Neurospora crassa OR74A: one gene and its partner. The protein of the gene in region 2 binds, or shares a complex with, the protein of the main gene of each other region. Links are inferred from orthologs where the notes say so. Each region holds a gene or a part of one and is shown on either strand. Other genes may lie near its edges.

The links.
Region 1: NCU00570 (region 2) and NCU05305 share a complex: the UniProt entries of both Saccharomyces cerevisiae proteins name them as parts of the RNA polymerase III (Pol III) complex. The link is inferred for Neurospora crassa OR74A from reciprocal best matches to the Saccharomyces cerevisiae genes RPC11 and RPB5.

The regions. Positions count from the first base shown.
Region 1 is NC_026504.1:5,395,311-5,399,126, forward strand, and holds NCU05305 (DNA-directed RNA polymerase II polypeptide), read right to left. Parts: upstream 2,529-3,816; 5' UTR 2,287-2,528; coding exon 2,194-2,286; intron 2,098-2,193; coding exon 2,015-2,097; intron 1,897-2,014; coding exon 1,368-1,896; 3' UTR 748-1,367; downstream 1-747. Other genes in the region: NCU05306 (hypothetical protein), read left to right, coding at 1-427; NCU05304 (nuclear segregation protein), read left to right, coding at 3,556-3,684. UniProt on the Saccharomyces cerevisiae protein: DNA-dependent RNA polymerases catalyze the transcription of DNA into RNA using the four ribonucleoside triphosphates as substrates.
Region 2 is NC_026501.1:7,970,220-7,973,102, reverse strand, and holds NCU00570 (DNA-directed RNA polymerase III polypeptide), read right to left. Parts: upstream 1,693-2,883; 5' UTR 1,454-1,692; coding exon 1,441-1,453; intron 1,385-1,440; coding exon 1,098-1,384; exon of another isoform or gene 1,042-1,097; coding exon 1,003-1,041; 3' UTR 822-1,002; downstream 1-821. Other genes in the region: NCU00569 (SOH1 family protein), read left to right, coding at 343-459, 514-801; NCU00571 (hypothetical protein), read left to right, coding at 2,434-2,460, 2,608-2,883. UniProt on the Saccharomyces cerevisiae protein: DNA-dependent RNA polymerase catalyzes the transcription of DNA into RNA using the four ribonucleoside triphosphates as substrates. Component of RNA polymerase III which synthesizes small RNAs, such as 5S rRNA and tRNAs.

The DNA of each region.
Region 1 (3,816 bases), on a different chromosome or scaffold from region 2:
GGACGTGGACAGTGAAGGGGCCAAGAAGGTGCGGGAGGTGTTGCGGCAGCGGATGCGCAGACTGGAGGGCAAGACACAGGAGGATGAGGAGCAATGGAGCTGGAGCAGGGAGGTTACGGCGCATTTTGGAAATTTGAATCCGGTCATGAGGGGCACGTTTCGCGGGCCGCCGCCGGGACAGCCGGTGGCGTTCCCCCCTGGAAAAGGGGAGGGGTTGGGCCAGGAGGTGGTGGATTTGCAGGATGAGGTAGCCAGAAAGAATTTCAGGGTGGTGGTGATTGTGCCGACCGAGGTGGATCAGGTGGATTTGTCGGATGCGAAGAGGGCGAGGCGGTGGTTGTATTTGTGGAGGGGAAATAGTTATCATGCGAAGGAGGCGGGCGGGGAGGTGCAGGGGGAGTGGGAGAAGGTTGAGGTTTGGCCTTAGAGGGATTGGGATTGGGATTGGTTCGTGATTTGGACTTGAGTGAGTCTTTTAGGTGTGTATTAACAGAGGAATGAATGAATAATTGAACAGTCAACATGCCATGTAACAAACGGATTACAGTGTTGGAGGATAAGTGTCTTGACTTTATGGTAGAGGCTGCGTATAGTTCTGTATTGGTCAATACAATGTCACCAGTCACTGAGTAACTCTTGAGCAATCGAATCAACAGCTCAATAACTCTGATATCTCATGCCCGATTTCAAAAGGGATTGACGAAACTTTCTTTCAGTCAGCATCCAAACACCTGAATGTTGATGATTCAGCCAGGGGCTACTTCTAGCTCAGATAAGCACTCTAATATAGTAGACTCCGTGGTGAATATACCCATTAGCAAACACAGTACCCAACTGCTCTAATCTCTCTTGTCTCAAAATTTCATAATGATAGCTCGGATATTCTCTTGTCGGTATATATCTCAAGCTACTTAGTACAAAAGCCACTCCGTAACGCCTTTCTTTCTTTGTCCTCTTTTGAATTCGAAAGAACAGAAACTGATTTCCCTGTATCCCCCATGATGCTAGAATAGTTAAGAAAAAGAAAAACGCCCAAGTGTTTTGTATTACACAACCGAACCCCTAACCCCTTCCTCCCTGTCCCGCTGGTGGCTGCCGTGCTTTCACTTCTTTCTTGCTTCGCTGCTGGCCGTCATCGTCCCCTTCCCAAGGCTTCTTATCCAGTCCTCGTCCATATAGTCATCAACTGATTCCCACCAGCCAGACCCGCGTTGGCCCGTCGAAGACCGTCCAGAGAACAAATCAAGCCTGGGGAGAGATTGGATGGATTGGTGTAGTGCCCTCCAGCCAGCCAGCCAGCCAGCCAGCCCAGCTTTGCCAACCGCACGCAACCACCCCCTTCTCTCACGCACACACGCTTGCCCCCCTTATACGCAAAGCCTGTAAGAAGCATAGCGACCCGCCGTCTCCGACACACGAATGATCTTGACGACCTGGCCCCTCTTGAGTCCCAGATACCGCGCAATCGGATCCTTGCTCAGAATTCTCGGCAGCTGCGTCTCCTTGAGTCGGTACCGCTTGAGGAGCGCGGCCTTCTCCTCCTTGGACAGCAACACGTGCTTGGGCACGAGCTCGTGGTGCGTGATGTTGACCAGCAGGTCCTCCTCCAGGAAGCACTCGACCTGTGTGTACTGCGAGGTGACGGACATGACCTTGCGGGCCTGGGCAGAAAGCGGGACGGCGGTGATGAAGATGCCGGCTTTGAACTTGTTGTCGGAGCAGTGGGTGACAAATTTCTTCATGACGGACACGCCGATGGAGCCCTTTTCGGTGCAGAACTCGACCCAGATGGTGCCGCATTCGGGAACGGGGTTGGGGTTGGAGGGCGTGGGAGGGGCGGTGAACTTTTTGATCATGGCTTCCGAGGGGCGGGCGGAGAATTGGAGCTTGGCGCGGCTGTGGTTTGGTGTCGTCATGTTAGTCTGGTGGGGAGGTGATAGTGGTTTGAGGTTTGAAATGCGACGCGTAAAGTGGTGGTGATGGAGGGGTGATGGGTGCCGACGCAGGAACTCACTTTGGTGTTCCATCCTCGTTCGTGTATTCAGCCTTGAACCGCTCGAGCGAGATCTTGACTTCGTCTTCCGCCAACTCGTAGCCCTATAGTCGAGAAGCACATGTACATGTCAGAATAGGTCGAATCATTCTGGGCGATGGCGCGTCGAGCAAGCGCCGTGATAAGGATGGATGGCGTACCCTGTCCTGAACCATCTCGTGAACAGTCCTCCAGGCCCTCCACAGACGGGAGACTTCCTTGGAGGCACTGGTGGGGCTGCTGTCGTCCTCCATTTTGACTGTGTGTGTTGGGCAGTCGATTGAAGTGTAGTGTTTGTCGTCGCGGAGTGGTGGTGATGTGGAGGTTGCGCAGGTGAGGTGGTGGTTCGCGATGGTGGATGGCGTGTTGGTGGATTGATAGCTTGGAGGACTTTCCTGTTTACGAGGCTGAAGGACAAAGGCTCTCAAAAAATTGCGGGAAGGGTGGGTGTCGCCGAAAACCAGAGGCGTGGCCGCATTGATCAGACCTAACGCCCGGGCACTCCAGGATTCCACGCCGGCCGATAAGAGATGGATGGGTCCACAGTGAGCCGGAGGCTGCCTTCACCCCTGTGAGACACTACAAGTAAGCGCGCAGATGGTCTGTGCTGTTGACCGTTGACCGGCTTCTGATTCAGGCAGGCAGTTTGTTGAAGTCGTGAAAGACCTAGGAGGAACAGTGATGGCGTGCGCTGGTTTTATGCATGACTGGAAAAGCGGACATACACTTCAAGTTGCGTTTCCGGTACATACATGATAGTACACAAAATTAATTCTCCTCGGCCAACTACCTATATAAACCTCTTCCATGATCCATATATGTTCCATGAGGGACATTGCTGGGCAAAGTGAAGTGAACTTAGTGAAGAGCCAATTCAACCTATCATCATCATCCTCCAACCAACCAACCAACCAACCAACCAACCAACCAGCGCACCATATGTACTTGGTAGGGTAGGTAGTAGCGCACAGGCCAAGACGGTGACACGCGTGACACGGTGTCGGGGAAAGGCCACGATCTGCAGATCTGGAACACGCCTGAAGCGGGACAAATTTTGGAATTTTTTGGAACTGGCGACGGGACTGTGAATTGAGGGTTCAAAGTGACCAAAGTTAGGTTAGTTCCCGTTCAATTGTCAATTTGGATGCGGGCAAAACAGATCAGGCATTGACAGCACCCGCACTACCTAGCCATTGTTCTCCCCAGGGCAGTCTGGACCCCATCTTCCACTACACATCCACATAACCACATCTCAAAGCAGCGATTACCCCAGAGGTACATCCTATCCTACAGGACCCGAACAGCGGTCCTCGGACGTGCACTGCCTTCCACTTCCCATCCTTCCTCAGGTCGCCCGCGGCTGTTCTACACTAAGTAGCTCTCCAACCAACCTACCCACCGGCTCCGACCCACGCCCCCCGGTTGCCTAGTCCCCCTTCCCCGTCTTTATCTTACTATTCCCTTCCTTTCGTCTCTTCTTCCTTCTTCTTTTTTTCCTTCAGCAACCCCCAACACCACACACAATGGCCGAGTCGCAATCCCCCGCTGCCGCCCCTGCGGCCACCACCAAGCCTCACAAGCCTGATCAGGATGCCTTCAACGAGAACCTCGCCAAGGCCGAGAAGGAGTATCAGGAGGCCCTGAAGAAATACGTGAGTCCCCTGCCCTGGCCGCTACCAAGAGCGCATCTACCCGATACCGTGGAGTCAGAGCACCCGCCCTCGCACTCACGATGCACCCTGCCGTCCACGCCACCCTCACCACCACCACGTCTTTTGCTACTA
Region 2 (2,883 bases):
GCAAGTTACAGGGCTGATCTGAGTATTTATAGCGGTTACACGCTGATTTTTCTGCAGGGACAGAGCCATCTCCGCTTGCTTGCCCCACTAATTTGCCACATCCGGGCCGCCCTCGAGGAATTGTTGGTGGAACAAAACAGTCTCGCCTTCCTTCCGGGCACTCACGGGCCGTTGAGGCTTTCGTCCAACACAAACGACCATTTAAGAGCAGCCACTGCTCACGTCTACTTGTACTGCCCATCGCATTCACTTGACAAAGAGGCGCAAACATCTAGACACGTTCCTAGGTATCCAGCTCATTCACAGATTGGAACACTGTAACAAACACTCATTTTTTACGTCATGGCATCCGATCCCATGTCAGTAAACAGTTCAGCAAGGGAGCCACCTGCGCCTCCGGGATCAGGGGCAGACGAGCCCAAGTATGGAGGATATACACGGTTCGAACTCGAACTGGAGGTAGGCTTCATACACATTATCATCCAGCGTGCGTGGTATTAACAGAACACTCAGTTTGTTCAAGCACTTGGCAACCCGCTGTACCTGAACCATCTTGCGTCCAGGAAGCTACTCAGCAATCCTGCTTTCATCGCCTACCTCGACTATCTCCAGTACTGGAGCCGCCCACCTTACCTCAAGTATATCACCTACCCTGGGCCTACCTTGAAGAACCTGGAGTTGCTGCAGCAGGAAAAGTTCAGGCAGGACATCATCAGCCCAGACCTGGTCGAGCGTCTCAGGCTAGAGGGCATGAAGGCCGGAATCGACTGGCATCGAGAGAGTTTTCCAAGCACGGCATAAGTTGCACGGGTAGAATGATGCCAGGGATGGAAACGAGTGGGAAGTAGCCTCTGGCAGGCCAGTACCGCACAAGTTGATTCTGATGAAGAATACCTCACATGCAACTACACAAAAACAAAAGAAAAACCCAACGCCAAGCAATGCCCCCAATACCATGTATTGATGATCCGACCAGACCTGTGCTGAACATGTCTTCTTCCTCTAGTTGTTGTCTCTCCACCTGTGCCCGCAAGTCATACACTACGAGACATGTTAGCTTCTTACTTTATCCCATCAGTCTGCAATCCCCTTCTTACCTTGTAGAACGTCGTCATCGGTTCATCAGCACTACGAATTTGAACCTGGAAGAAGGCTGCCTCGTTGCCATTGCAAGTTCCGCTGTCACACTGGACCTTGCCTTTTTGTGCATTGTCCCAAGCGCCTGGACCACCAAACACGTCTTCCTTCTCCTTGCGCGGGAAGTTCTTGCGGGAGTAGATGGGCTTGTCGATGGGGTGTTCGTAAGGACAGGTTCTGCACTCGAGCCTGTTGCCACCCGTGTCCGCTCGGGAGAGGATGAGGAGGTTGGCGCAGAATGGGCAAACTGTGGTGGGCGTTTAGTTCCGGTGTCCTAGCCTTTGTGGGTGGACTTGGACTTACAGACGATAGGCATGTTTGCTATTGATGAAGGGACTGGATTTGTTTGTTGTGTGTTATCGTCCGTTATGAATAGCAAGTGAGATGAGTCGAGCGGTTGCCAAAAGTCTTGTTGACGATCCTGATGAGAAGAGGCGTCGCCGTAAGCTGGTACCTTTTGTGAAAACAGCTGGCCAAGACCGGTGTTTATGTCTACCACTTGCTGGGCTTTAAGGTAGTGATATAAGTTGTTAGAGTGTAAATAGTCAGTGTAGGGGCGATGGCCTGAAAAAAAGTGTTATAGCTCGATGCGGTCCGTTAATTCTATAAACCTTAAATGTAGCGCTTGAATTTTCATTGGTCAGATCTGCATCATCAACTGTCCCACACTTGGTCAGCGGTGCCTGGACCCAACGGCCCTTTCTGTTGTGCCTGTGCTAAGGTAGGTACGTACCTACTCACTGACATGCAGCTGGGCCTCAGCGCATGCCATCTGAATGCCAGCGTCCTGATCGGGCCCCGCAAGGAGCCGACCATTCTGTAACACCAAGGGAAGACGACACTGCCACTGCCACCTCCTAACCAGCCCGTTAGGTAGAGGTACGGAATGCTTCCATCCCGTCCTTCATACAACCACCACCACCACCACGACTGGAGATATCTCATAGAATACAGTACACTGTACCCTACAAACAGTCGTTCGCCGCCCTCTTATTACCCCGAAGATCCCTCATTGAGCGTTACGCGATCCCGATCCTTTTATAGGAATCGACCGATTACCTGATTCGACAGCCTGGCCACTTCCATACCGTACATCCACTCTCCCCCGCCGACCCATTTCCACGATTCCCGCTCGTAATTAGCAATTCCAGGCCAATCTTACCTCTCTACTTTGGACAACTCTCGCCGTCATCCCTCTTCGCTTTCACCGTCGTTTTCGCTACTTGTGCTTCTTCCTACAACCAAGAAACATCACCCGCCGTTTCCGAGACAACCACAAGTGACCTACCAGTAACCATGGCCGGAAAGGACGAAGAACACGAGGTTCGTACCACACAAGCGTCCTCTACCCCCAACTAACACCCTCTCTCTTCTATCCCCCGTTTCACCCGCCCTACGCCCTCTCGCGCAAACAGCTATACTACAGACAACCCCAGCTAACCCTTCCTTCTTTCACCCCCCAAAATACAGGGTGCCTCCATCTCCGAGCAGCTCATTGAAGCTTGCCGGCGTAACAACACTGACCTCCTCTCGGAAATTCTCGCCGACAAATCCGACGAAGAAATCTCCTCCCTCTTGAACAACACGACCACCGTGATGGGCAACCACCTCTACCACGAAGCCGCGCTCCGTGGCAACTACGAGATAATCGACATGCTCCTCGACCAACCAGGCTTTGAATGCGATCCCGTCAACCGACTCGAGGGCGACACCCCGCTGCACAGCGCAGTCCGATGGATCAACAGC